2 linked regions of the Mytilus edulis genome follow. The protein of the gene in region 1 purifies or fractionates together with the protein of each later gene. This does not show direct contact. Links are inferred from orthologs where the notes say so. Each region holds a gene or a part of one and is shown in the gene's direction. Other genes may lie near its edges.

What was found.
Region 2: the proteins of ribonuclease P protein subunit p21-like (region 1) and ribonuclease P protein subunit p30-like purify together in Homo sapiens (co-immunoprecipitation; 3 studies listed by BioGRID and IntAct, counting the BioPlex papers as one, with this or other methods). This does not show direct contact. The link is inferred for Mytilus edulis from reciprocal best matches to the Homo sapiens genes RPP21 and RPP30.

The regions. Positions count from the first base shown.
Region 1 is NC_092352.1:3,031,764-3,039,355, forward strand, and holds the start of ribonuclease P protein subunit p21-like, read left to right. Parts: upstream 1-4,573; 5' UTR 4,574-4,681; exon of another isoform or gene 4,682-4,689; intron 4,690-7,592. Other genes in the region: protoheme IX farnesyltransferase, mitochondrial-like, read right to left, coding at 824-894, 1,514-1,638, 2,336-2,735, 4,182-4,307. UniProt on the Homo sapiens protein: Component of ribonuclease P, a ribonucleoprotein complex that generates mature tRNA molecules by cleaving their 5'-ends.
Region 2 is NC_092344.1:62,973,041-62,980,254, forward strand, and holds the start of ribonuclease P protein subunit p30-like, read left to right. Parts: upstream 1-4,203; 5' UTR 4,204-4,244; coding exon 4,245-4,323; intron 4,324-5,234; coding exon 5,235-5,317; intron 5,318-5,937; coding exon 5,938-5,997; intron 5,998-6,865; coding exon 6,866-6,940; intron 6,941-7,214. Other genes in the region: cilia- and flagella-associated protein 100-like, read right to left, coding at 1-5, 638-698. UniProt on the Homo sapiens protein: Component of ribonuclease P, a ribonucleoprotein complex that generates mature tRNA molecules by cleaving their 5'-ends. Also a component of the MRP ribonuclease complex, which cleaves pre-rRNA sequences.

The DNA.
Region 1 (7,592 bases):
TCAGGTCATTAAAGGATTGCATATGTTGGCTTTAATATTGATTCACTGATAGGGTCTTTGCATTGGAATTAAACACATTTATTTTAAAACTAGTTGTTGGCATGACACGGGTTATGTTTTTTTCATATATTTATGATGGTATAATACTAAACCCCTAACGGGAGGGATTGTGCCTGATATTCATATGATGAAGACATAATCTTTCAATCAGTTTAATTGAGGTCTGGAGCTGTCATATCAGTTAACTGCTAGTAGTCTGTTGTTATATGTATTATTGTCATTTTGTTTATTTTCTTTTTTGTTACTTCTTCTGACATCGGACTTCTCTTAAACTGAGTTTTACTGTGCATTTGTTTTTTCGCTAGAGGTATAGGGGGAGGGTTGAGATCTCAAAAAACATGTTTAACCAAGCCACATTTTTGCACCTGTTCCAAGTCAGGAGCCTCTGGCCTTTGTAAGTCTTGTATGATTTTTATTTCTAGTTTCTTGTGTATAATTCCGAGTTAAGTATGATGTCCATTATCACTGAACTAGTGTACATATTTGTTTAGGGGCCAGCTGGAGGATGCTTCCGGTGTGGGAGTTTCTCGCTGCATTGAAGACCCATTGGTGGCCTTCAGCTGTTGTCTGCTCTATGGTTGGGTTGTTGTCTCTTTGACATTCCCCATTTCCCCATTTCCATTCTCATTTTTAAGTGTGAAAATGTATGCACAATTCCAAATTTACCTTTTTTAGTGGGTACTCCATTTAGAAATTGGACTTCCCTGGGGACCATGTATGTTGATGTTAAATGGTGAACCTGTACTCTTAAAATTAAACTCACGTTAAAAATCCTCTTACAATAACTCTATTTTTTGTTCTGTTCATCTGTGAGTCATATGGGACTTCCAAAAACTACAATATAAACATAAATATTACTCCATTGTTACAATAAAATCTATAATTATCTGTGACCTTATGAAAATCGAAATCATTAAGTGCTATACATGTAATAATATTATGTTGATTGTTGGTGTTTGAACACCACTTTTTAGCACATATTTGGGCTATTTCTTGGTGGCCAGTTGTTATTAGTGGAGGAAGCCTGAGTGCCCAGAGAAAACAACAACCTTTGACAGTTATTCATAGGAAAACTGACAATCCTAGTCAATTAAGATTTGAGTTAAGTTGAGTGCACTTGCACAAGTGGGGTTCAAACTCGCAATTTCTGTGATGAATGGCTAGTGATAACAGTAGTAGAACTACTAAGACCACTTAGCCAATGAGGCACCTAGTAATATTATAGAAGGCCATTGTACTAATCACCAACACATCTGAGCACTTCAAAGTTAAATAATTAAAATCCTTCACATAAATACACCAACACAACTGCTTAAAACTAAAGTATGAATGAAACTGTTTTACTGGTAATTTGGTGGTTGATCAACAGGGATGTTGGGTTAAAATATGATTGTAGGAACAAAATCTCATAAAAAAGTTAACCCTTGAGGCCTAGGACTATAATATACTGTACCTGATTAGTGGCATTTGCTGAAGCTGAGGTAAGAGATGTACCCACAGTGGCAAACATAAAAGTCCAAAGGTCAAATGCACCTGGTGCTATAGCAAAACCTGCCATCTGTGTTAATACAACTAGTCCTAAAATAAATAATACATACACATGATCTATATTAAAATACAACCAGTCCTGAAAAAAACACATTACTCATGAACAAAACTAGCAATCAAAACTGTTTTAATACAACCAGTCCGGAAACAATGAATTATCGCTATTTTGTGCATTTTTCCTTTAATTTTTTTTGTGATAATTTTTCATATCATGCTTCATGTACTCGCTTGAGATGGAAAATTATGGCTAGAAACTCAGGAGGCGTGTAGCGTTGCTAATGAAATTGACAACGTCGTCATAGGCAAAATAGCGATAAACAGATTACCATTGATCATCTCAACTCGATTGCTTTTCTCGCTTTCGCCGTACTGGCTCAAGCAAGAAAGTTGAGATGATCAACAATAATCTATAATTACACATGAACAAGACATTTATCTAAACACTTTCTTACAAAATATTAGTACAAAAGATACATATATGCGAAAAACATAAGCTTTTAATATCGTTAAAGGTCCATAATATAAACTGTATGGGTCTATATCATTGTATATTTAACAACAAATATGCAAACCAATTGAATTTACAAATGGTTCAGTTCTAATAATATCAATAAGGACTTGGCTATTGCTAAAACAGTTCTATAATATATTTATAATTTTAAAATAACATTCATACACTATCATGACTGTATATGTCACAAAGGGACTACAAGTGATTCTATATTACCTGTTAATCTGATCTTTGATAACATTAAATAATGGTGTAAGAGTTTAGAATAATCAACTTTCTGTTCATGCCACGTCCAATCTACAAGTGATTCTATATTACTTGCTGGGCTCTCTGCCTTTCTGTCTCGTTTCAATTCATTTTGTATAAGTTTAAGTTTTTCTGGAGTCAGCCATTTTGGATTATCTCTAACAGTATCCTGTAACTGTACACCATTGATATCGAGTAAGTTTTCATTTAGATGAAGGAGTGTGCTAGAATGTTTATGATGTAACGATAATCCCTGATTAAGGATAGATTGATGGACAGTGGTCATATCTGGTTTTATTCTCTCTTCTTCAACATGGTTTGATTCTTTAAACACCCTCTGTGCTTTGGATGAAGCTGTCCTTTGAGCTAACTGTAACAATAAAACATAAATCATGTGATAATTGTAATATATATGTATACACACATACATTTTGTTTAGTATTGGAATCACAGGTACAATTCAAAATGCATTTATTTAAATAAAGGTTTAACAGTCATGTGACAGTTTATTGGTCATCATGATTTGATTGACTGGTCATTGATATCAAGGATGACCAGGAATATATATTATCTTATCTCTTGTCATCTTATATTGTTCATGATATTGCTGAATACAATTTATTACAGATTTTGCTTGCAATGATCATGAGTAACAAGATATATATATAAGTTCTACCTCTTCTAGAGCATCTCAGTTCAATCTATTTTTTTTATGGTTTATGTATAGTAAAATTGCAAATGAATTAAAGAACAATCCACAGAATGTAAAGTATGTAACTTTGTGTTTCCGTGTTGGTATATTTCTGAGCGAGTATACAAGTATTGTTAGATAAAACCAACGATTACTTGATTACATATATACACCATATTATATTTCTATTTGGAAATCTGTGCTGGTTGACTCGTGAATGAGGATAGGAATGCCCTTTACCGTCAGGTGTCAAACAGTCATTTTTGGCTATAGTAAGCGACAAATTGTTTAAAATTTTACTGTGCGTCGTCAAAATATTCTTATCATAATTTGTCAGCTCGGCCTAAAATAATTTTGTTAATGTGATTCACCAAAACAAGTTGATATTTTATCGTTATGCACCTAAAATTACTGTTAACGTTGTTTGACAAGAATTTTTACCATTGTTCGTCATGAAGGTGCCCCAATAGGGCTCTTCACGATTAGTTCGGCCATATTGGATAGGGGGCAGATTTTTAGGAAAGAGGTGGAAATAGTATGAAAGTGTGGGAAATCCTAAGCATGTTTCTAAGCAACTGCTCTGTAAAATGATGTGTTCCCGAATTTTCCACACTATTTTTACCTCCACTAAACACACTAAATTTAAAAAGTTTTCTATGAACTTGTCTGTTTTCTGCAAAGCATTTGTAAGTTATAAAATACATTGATAATATATTATTATTTAATAATCAATGTTTAAAAGTCACAAATATGTGCTTATATTAAAATTTCAAGTGTTATTCGGTCATTACAAGTGTTATTCGGATAATATCAGTGTTATTCGGTCATTCGTGTTACCCACTGTTCTGTTCTGTTCTGTTTGAGAAAATCCCTCCTTCAAAGGAGCACTTCGCACAATGACGAATAATGTTTATATATACATGTATAATTATATGTACCTAAAAAGACATACTACGTCCACTTTGAACTATGTTTATAAACTGGGATCAAGCCCACTAATATTTGACAATGAACAGGATGAATGACTACAGTCTAACATGTGTAAAAAAGCTAAAAAATTAATAATTCACAAATATGACTAATTTCATAAATGCAAAAATTTTATGAAAACGACATTAAACATACTTGTATACTCCACGAAGACTTTACACGTTGTGTAACCTCTAGATGTGACATGCATGACTTTGTTGACATTTGCAGTTGAAATAACTTCTTCTTGCCAACACTCCATCCTACTTTCATTATATGCATATCGATCGTTACATTAAAGTCATTTTCAAGTTTACGATGTATCTAAAAGCTACATTTTGTTATTTATAATATAAAACAACGTAGTTTATCGAGACGGTTTCTTTTTGCTGTTGAGTGGTTTCATGTTGTCCCTGTGAAGGTTCATCCTGTTACCAAAAAAATCAAACTTTACATAACAATATTTTATTTTGAAATGACCATTCAGATAAATGTATATAAGAAGTTTCGAACACATCATCTACAACAACCAAACATTTTTTACATGCTTTTAAAATGTTAAAAAAATGTATATAAAACGGAACATTCAATTTGGTATTAGTCAAACCTTGTGGAAAATGCTAAAAAAGGAAAACAGTTGAAAAAGACAAGTCAAGGTTGAAGTGTACAAAATTTTGAAGTTTCTGAAACTGACAGTTTATCCACCCTTATCATGCCTATCTATAAAACATATCATAACAAAAATTCACCAGAAAAAAATATTGCTTTAGGCTATCATGATAGTATTTTTCTCCTGCATAAAATTAAAAATTAATATGATGAAAACAAAAATTTATCATGTTTATTAGCAATACTACTACTTTATTTGTTTTAATAAATCTTATTTTTCTTGTTATACACCTTATTGCTATTTGTCCAGCATAACTGGACCCATGTTCTCATTAATTTTGACGTAATACAAAATATCTGATGCCATTTACATTATGGAAAAATTATTGTTGTTTTATACGGCTTATCGCCAATCCCGGCTGAACTTTTGATGCATACAACAATCACTTTTCCATTTTGGCGTCAGATATTTTGTTTTATGATGTCAAAATTTTACAGGAACCTGTGTGATATCTAGTAACACCGGACAAATAGCGATAAGGTGTATTATGACATCAATAGTTCAACTGTCGCAGATTCTCTGGGTCAACCTGCACAGATTTTAAAATAGACATATATGTATATATATTATCAGGTTTTCTACATATTGATATTGCAAGATATCAACTGCTAGATACAATGTGAACCTTTTTGGTAAGTGCATGAGCGCAGTGAACGACCTAAAAAGCTTCACAATTACCAGGCTTCTCACAAAAGAAATCTAAGTTACTCAATTTTATTACGGCACAATATATACACAAGACAAACAGATATATTTCACAGCACAGGACAAACACTCGACTGTACCACTGACAGTCACATATAACATGTAAAGTTAATGTTCAAGAGCAAATATAGCGTCTAGCCATTAGAAATGATAAATAAATTCATCCAAACAGCTCGAATAAACACATGAGCTAGCCACAGTATACACAAGCACATCTTAAAACTAAGTACACAAAATACATTAAAATTTATAACTAACACAGTTGTATGCGGCGGGTGGGAGGGTAAATAATTTCAATGAAAAATTTCAAATGTACCGCGAATCCCGAAACAAAGAAATATATAAGAGCGTCCTGTATCCAGGTAACAAATTGACCAATCAAAATAAGGAATACTCGGAACAATTTCTTCCGAGTAAATGTAAACAGTGATTCATGTGGTAATTATCCATTTTTATAAAATCAAAAATTACACAATTACCAGGCTTCTCACAAAAGAAATCTAAGTTACTCAATTTTATTACGGCACAATATATACACAAGACAAACAGATATATTTCACAGCACAGGACAAACACTCGACTGTACCACTGACAGTCACATATAACATGTAAAGTTAATGTTCAAGAGCAAATATAGCGTCTAGCCATTAGAAATGATAAATAAATTCATCCAAACAGCTCGAATAAACACATGAGCTAGCCGCCAAGCCAACGGCCGCCAAAAAATAAACAAACAACTGTGCTGAACAAAGAATTAAGCAGATTAATTTTAACTATCATATAAACAATACACAATTTAGCTTGTTAATCTAGCATGCAAGAAATAATATCAAGCAAAAACTAAATAATAAAAGCAAGCAAGGAAGAAACAATATCAACCCTGAACATAAACTTTTCTCCATACAAGAAACAATATCTCATATGAAAAGAAACCGCACCCAACAGTGTGAACAATACTCACTGAAAAGAGTCCCTTACCTGCAATATAAAATAAAAATATTAGTACATATTAATATAAATAAACCTAACTACATCTTAACCAAACAATCTTAAATAATACCAATACATATTAAGGAAAATAAAATAAAAAATAATCCAAATTTTAGTATGGAAGAAATAATATCAACCATAAACTAAAAAAACCCCAAAGGAAGTATGGTAGAAACATGAAATTCAACCATATCTAATCCTTTAACTCCACTTAAGAAATTCATCTCAAATGACAAGTTAACCTATCTAAATTAAATGAGCAACCCTTCTTTTAAAATATAAACCTAACTGCCTTGTACCTTCACAATTGAGATGTAACCCACCATCTTTATAGGCAAATAGCTCCACCTTTGGCTTTCCACATTTCAAAAAACATCTATACGAATGAATGAATTCGACTTCATAACTCAAACATAAATTTAACAAAGCCATATTAACATCCTTTATCTTCTTACCCGTTTCCTCAAAATCAACAGGACGAGGAAGAATACCAGACAAAGCAATAACCATAGAAGGAAACAATAACTTGGCGGTAGAAATTAAATTACAATAGGCAGACTTAAACTGATCAATAGATAAAATATGAATATCATTGGTACCACAATGAATAACTAAACATTTATAACCTCCATAAATACTCCCCTTGTTCTTGTTAAGCTGATAGGTTATTTCTCCAATGGAAGCCCCCCGAAACGCATAAACATCCGCATTCTCAAGCTTCACATATTTTGCAATTGAGTCTGACACTATCAGAAAAGTTCCTGGTTCTACAAAGAAACGATATAAATTAGTAACCTAACAAGGAAACACTCTTCGACATCATTTGCGAAACTTGAAGTTTCTGTTCCAAAGTAAATTCTAAATACTTTTTATAAGCATCACTATGCCAATCTCCATGAAGTTGAATTAATTCCGTAGAAACCTCAGCATGAAAAGCTAAAGTTGCCCCCCCTCTTCTAAAACTATGAGTAGAGTAAAATAAAGAGTTACGACCTGTTTTTTGTATTAAATATCGAAGCTTATTTTGATACTCTTTATAAGTAATGGGTAGAATGCGCCCCTTTTTAACTTTACAAAATAAATAATTTCAATGAAAAATTTCAAATGTACCGCGAATCCCGAAACAAAGAAATATATAAGAGCGTCCTGTATCCAGGTAACAAATTGACCAATCAAAATAAGGAATACTCGGAACAATTTCT
Region 2 (7,214 bases), on another chromosome or scaffold:
CACTCCTACAAGTAAATATTCATAACTTTAATATCAACACAATAACTAAATGTTCATTGCACTAAATCATTTCACGAAATACGTCACTACATTATGAAAATAAGCAGATGGTATTCGTGTATGATTGCCAATGAGACAACTTAATAATCCACTTGAGTTCCAATTGATAGATAAGGTGTCAACTGAAAGTGGTCTGTGGACAAAGGAAACCTGGATAGAAAGCTTATCTGCATTATTTTATTGTAAATAGGTAAAGGTCAAATGAAATTAATTTATGTACATGTATCATTAATTATTAATTTAGAAGATGACTTTTTAAATATCAATATGAATTTGTATCTTATTCTTAATGACAAAATTGCAACGTTACTATTAATCTAAGTTACTCTAAGCATTCTTAAAACTGTTTCAGATTATTTTTAGAAAAGCTCAAATATATGCTAAATTCTATTGTTCCAAAATTTATATTCTATCATAACTTGTTTAAGGAATCTTGTTTACGAAAAAGTCCTATGTCTTTACCATGTTTATGATCAAAATTTATATAGGAAAGAATTTTTAAAAGTGTCACTTTTGAAATAAAAAAAAATTGAATATTTTTAGTCAGATTAAACTTTTGAACTAAATAACTACTTACTTGACTTTTTCCCTGAAGCATCTGTGTCAGGAGAAGGGGCACCTGTTGGAGAGTCTGCCATTTTGTTTTAATTCTAAAATATAACCATATAAAACATGAAGTCATCAGTTTTACCATGTTAAAACCTCCTTGAAATCTGTTTTCCAATGGGATTTGTTTGTACATTTTTTTGTACCCTAGCAGCTGCTCTATACAATACAATACAATATCCATTCATTTTTGTTAAAATCTGTACATATCAGACTTATGATTTTTTTAATGTTTTCCCATGATTCATTGCATCAAAGCAAAGAATGAACTCTGTTTCCTAAAAAGTTGGGAATAATGAACAATATGGACCATTTGATTCACATACATGTATCTATTAGAAATTGTTATTTACAACTGCAGTATTTATATCACATGTGTGTACAATGTGTCTCGATATGTGATTGATCTGTAAGTCACAGTTTTAGCTACATACATGTACATGTTGCTCAGCCAAAAAATTATTTACCTATACAAGTTTTAAAATAAAATACACTTGTATAAGTTTCCTATAAATTCATTATAAGCATATTAATATTTACTTCTTCAAGTAAATAAAAATTACTTGTACAAGTAGTACCCTTGACTGGGCCTAAATTAATATATTGTTTGTTTCCCCAATCCCAATCCTGCCAAGCCAGGTGTGGGTAAGTACATGAAGGTAGGGAAATCGTTTAACTTTTTCCAAAAAGCTGGAACAATATCGGTCGATCCCACAATCCTTCAAATTGGAAATGAATAAAATAATATTTTTCAGGGTCAGTCAGGATTGGGGAAACAAACAATATTGTATTTTAGGCCCTGGTTATTAGCATGATAAGTAAAACAACCATGCATCAATGACATTCAGGTAATAAAACATGAAAGATGTGTCAGAACAAAACATTATTACTGAGACTTTAACAGCACAAGCATAGACCTTATCCCTATTTGGAAATCTGTGTGACCATTGCTTGACCCTAGAATCTGCACACCTTGAACTATTGACAATCACATCATTCAACAATATCTTTTCCATTGTTACTTGTAACGTCAAATGTTTTTATTATGACCTCAAATTTTAAAGAAACCTTTGTAAAGTTCAGTAATCATGGTAATGACATACAAATCATAATAAGCAAAAAGGTGTATTGTGACATATGATATTTACAGAAAATGCATGAAATTCAATTAAAAAGTTGTCTTTTTACTTTTAGAAAATAACAAGAATGTGTCCTCAGTACACGAATGCCCCACTCGCACTATCATTTTCTATGTTCAGTGGACCGTGAAATTGGGGTAAAATCTCTAATTTGGCATTAAAATTAGAAAGATCATATCATAGGGAACATGTGTACCAAGTTTGAAGTCGATTGGACTTCAACTTCATCAAAAACTACCTCGACCAAAAACTTTAACCTGAAGCGGGACAGACGGACGAACGGACGAACGAACGGACGAACGGACGAACGGACGCACAGACCAGAAAACATAATGCCCCTCTACTATCGTAGGTGGGGCATAAAAATATAATTTGTAACCTTCAAGAGATCATTTCATAGAATACCTTCTTCTTCCTTTATAGTACAGGCCTTCCATTGGAGTATTATCGTACTGTTTTATGTACATGTTTTTGATTTGGGAACAACAAATGTGCGAGTAAGTGCGGATTATTTACAGTGAAAACGGTGCTTATCTTTAAAATAACGATAAAAACGAGGTTGTACATCTATCGACTATCGAAGCTGGACGGACACTTGCACACCCCTTTTGAATGATTCAAGGGTTGTGCAGCTAACTATGTGTTGTGGCAGTCCATTCCAGATTCTGATGGTATCTGGGAAAAATGAGTGACAATATATTTGAGTCCTGGCAAAAGGAACTAGGAATCGTTCATTGTGTCCTCTTACTGTTGATATTTCTGGCTTTAAATTTGTAGTTGGTACCTGTCGCATAGTATCTGAGCAAGGATTTCTTACTATACAAATCCTAGTCCTATAGTATATGCCTTCGCATTATATATTCACTATTTAACGTTTTCATGCTGATATTTTCATTATACAAATCCTTGATCATCATCTGAGTAATTTCAAAAGTGTATTTAACTATCGTTTATGCTAATAAATAAATTAATTTTATTTAAGTAATATCTGCGTTTACTATGAGGAAAGTACCAAACAAACCTATGTAGGACATTAATGTATTACCTAATGTTAGGATTTGTATACAAATCCTTACTTCAGGCAGAGACATACATGTATAATACAAGAGATTGGCAACTCGGCAAAATCCCGTAATATCACACTGCCAGATTTAAACCTCGCGAGATCTCTTTGGGTAATAGAGTCATTATCAAAGTATTAAAAGTACTTGAAGTAAGGGCGAATGTGTAAGCATAAATTAACTGTTTCAGTGTTAAATTTAGTCTGAGATTACTCTGACGTCCAACAGCAGTTTTGCCAGACAAGCTGGGGCCGTGGGACGTCAGAGCCCGTCCCATATCAAAAAGTGGATATTTGCCCACCCAAAATAGATGCACTGCTTCGTCGCTTTAGGTGCCGACTGACGGCCTCAGAATTATATAAATCGGGCATCAATCTGTCCTACAGCCCCAGCTTGTCTGGCAAAACAGTCGTTGGACGTCAGAGTAATCTCGGACTATGTTAAATTTAACATAATTAAAATTAAATAATTTGAGTTCATACATAATTATTCATTTCAATGTCATTTAATTTTGATTTGTATTATTTATATTATCGAAAAAGAGACATAATTTGATATTGAATTTAAATTTTTTTAAAAAGGATATTAAATAAATAATACTTGATAAATTGTATTATATGGGCCCCAATAACAGTAGAAAAATCAATAAAAAAAATTTTTTTTTTTAAAATCTGGAAAATTTTCCCGAAATTTTTTATTGTACTAACATGACTAATGAACTCAAATTCGTTCAATTTTTTTTTGTCATGTTTTTTAATTTCCGGATCTGCGCAGAACGCAGAAATCTACTTCCTTTTTCCGGTCTTGTTGTCGTGAGACTTTGATTAGTCTAGTAAAATATAGGAACTCATCAAGGAACACAATACCAATATTTAATTTTTAATCATTCTTTGGCTTTGATATGAATAAACGTTACTGTATGCATTGCGTTATTTTGTTTACATTGAACATGACGTCATAACTTAAATAACGTCACAAGTAAAATCCCTAACAACAGAACCAAAATCGGAAACGTTACGGTATTTCCGTTTCTTTTTTTCACAAATATTTTAAAAAGTTACAAAAAAAAAATCATACAGACTTCGTCCCCATTCACAGGTAATGCCTGCCTCATATTATGTCTCTGCTTCAGTTCAGGGTAAACCAATTTCAAATTTTAGCTTGAAAAAAGCAGAAACTACTTGCATGATTTCAAATTTTTATGAGTATTCAAATTAGTCATTCAAAAGAATTATTCATGGGACATTTGTGTTATCATAAAGAGCTAAAGTTACCAATTAATGTAAATTCAGGCACCCACTGTTTACAATTTCCGTGGTTACTAACTCCGGAAGTAAATTTGTATGAGAAGGGGAAATAAGCAATAGTGACTTCCGGAATGGCTAACTTCATGGATTTCAACGTGCAGATTAGCGAGAAGCAACATTTAGCCAAAACACTTGCTATGGCAGCAAAATGTAAATATCATATCCTTGTTAAATCAAAATAAGAAATAAGATTCTTCTCTGGCAAAACTTGTGTGTTTATGAAATCATAGCAACATTACTCCAGTTCAGTTGTCCCGACCTAGTCCAAATAAATTATGTTTTCGAGACGTTTTGGCCATACACCACTTCGGCCTTAGTCGTTTCGACCCATTATTCCCTTTTCTTAATTTCTGTGTCTTTCAATGTTTTGAATAAAAAATAAGAGGTCAGTGTATTTTTACTTTGCATGCTTTGTATGAGATAAGACTGATACATATATATATGAGGGTTTGGATGGGGTTGAATGATTAAAGAATAATGCCCTTAAAAATGAAGATTAGAGAGTAACGGGCAAAAAAATGAAGAATAGAGAAATGCATGGTCTAATTTTTTGAAGATTTGAGAAAAAAGGGGTTATTTTTTTTTAAAGATTAGAGAAAAAAAGGGGTGAAAATTAAATGTTTACAGAATAACAGACCCCCCCCCCCCCCCCCCTCCTCCTTATTTTATTATATTTTACAGTCTTAGCAAAAGGTAATGATGTTGTCCCATATTCTCAAAAATGGTTTACCTTTGATAAGTGATATTGGCCTAAAAATTGTACAATGTTAAACTATGTTAGCTAATATACCAGGCATGGGTTACCTGTCAAAGAGGAATATATATTGATCCATCAGAACAAACATGACAAAAGCATAAATGAAAAAATGACAATAAGACAGCTACCCAGCATCTTTCATTTGCAAGATTTTTGACCTCATCATTTATCTTTTATAACATTGACCAAGGACCAGCATATGAAATATGGCAGCTCTTAATTTTTTAACAAATATATTATTGTTAACTTCTGAATCTTTGAAATATAATAATATGGCAATGTGTCTATTTGAACATTTTAACAGTGGGCTATAGTGTTGCTGCTGTAAATCATTGTGCACCAAGTATAGACAGTATTGTAAAGAAAAAAAAAAAAGACAAAGATTATGTAAGTACTGTAATAAATTTGTATAGATATGTATACACACATGTGTAGACAGTAACAATTGTATATGTATAAAATATATAGATTCTTGTTAGAAAATGATGGATTTGAGAAATGATTCTTTTTTGCATCATTTACATGTAAATATGTCTCGCTGCGACATAGCCTTGTTGTGCTAATACAGCGTAAAGCAACCTACAATCAATGTAAATATATATGTGATAATTAGTGTATCTCAATTTTTTAATGTTTGCTATATGTTGAAAAATATGAATAATCTATCTTAAGATTTTAAAGAACTTGATTGCTAGGAACACATTCTTGATTCTTACCATATGCTTAAAGCATTTATATGTTTAAAAGAAGAAGAAGCTTTTACGTCAATGAGACGGCAACGTAAGGGCAAACAAAAACACCCAAAATTGGATGAAACTCAAAACAAGGATAAGAAACACACCAATTCTAACTGGCAATTATAACAGTCATCTATTTTGTAATGTTTATGCATTGTTCAGAAACAGATGCATATCATATGAATGTTTCCCATAGCACACTGTCAGAAGCAACATCTATTCTATAATTATTTTATATTACACTTTATTTTTCTTTTTTCCTTTGTGTAGCATGCAATTCCATTACCAGAAACTTTGAAAGTTGATGCAGAAACTTTAAAGAATATCATGGTGAGATATTTAGTTGAAATTCTGTGAAGACATCTCATTTTTGGTTGCCTGCTGCTCTGGAATTATTTAAGATTTCCTTACACTCAAGTATGTGTCTAAGAAATTTGAAAAGACAAAAATGATATGGGATGTACATGATTCTTGTAAAATCATTTTTTGTACCCCTCACCCATTTTCTCAAAATTTTGGCTAGAAAGACTGTCAGACTTGATTAATCGTAAAATTTGAGAACTGAATTACACAAAAACCATTCATTATAAATACACAATTTTTTCACAGAGTTATGTTTGATTATAATATTTTTAAAATTCATTGATATTTTCCTCTACAAGTATCACATGTTTAGGAAATAGTTCCTGAACGAGATTTCAAGGAGACTCAAACCTCAGAAGAATATGTCCTTAAGAATGAAATGAATACATTAAAAGTGGAATATAAATCACCAATAAATAATATAACAGATCACATCAACCACCAAATCCTAACCACTACAAGACAACAGATATACAAAAAAAAAAAAAAAACTTTGATCAATGCATATTCCAGGTAGCCTAACATTCTGACTTTAACAGTGCTTAATGAAAAATGACAATAAAATCTTTAGGGTAGGCTATTTTTAAGCCGAAAAAGTAGGGACGGTAGGGTTACTGGAACAACACATATATTTTTATTTGGCCTTACAAGCATCATTTCCGAAATTAGGTGGATTCAAATTGAAATCATTTTAAGAATACACCAACCTCTTATAAATATCTATCTAGACTGTATGTTTTTACACTATAAAAAAAGTCGGCTCAAGAAAGTTACAAACAGGATGACACTAAAGTCCAGAATTGGAAATTATGATAATATAAACATTGCTTTTCAGGCAGGAACAAAAAAATTCAGACAGTTATCAAGATTTAGTACCATAATGGAAGATGTTGCACAGCTACAAAAATTAGTAAGTTTAATTAATTCAATAGTATATATATATAGATCTCAATCGACTGACCATTAAAATCATTGACCACAACTCTGCTTGGTCTAAGGAGGATAGACTTGCTCTGGAAAGATTTTGGATCAGAAAATTAATAACTTTGGCACCAAATGGGATAAATTAAAAGGTGTAGTTCGACTCCGTGTAGTGCTTCACATTTGGGTTATATTACTTATTATTACAGTCTCTGTTTCTTTTTCTTAACCTTTTTCATTTATTAAATAAATTTGTTGAAGAT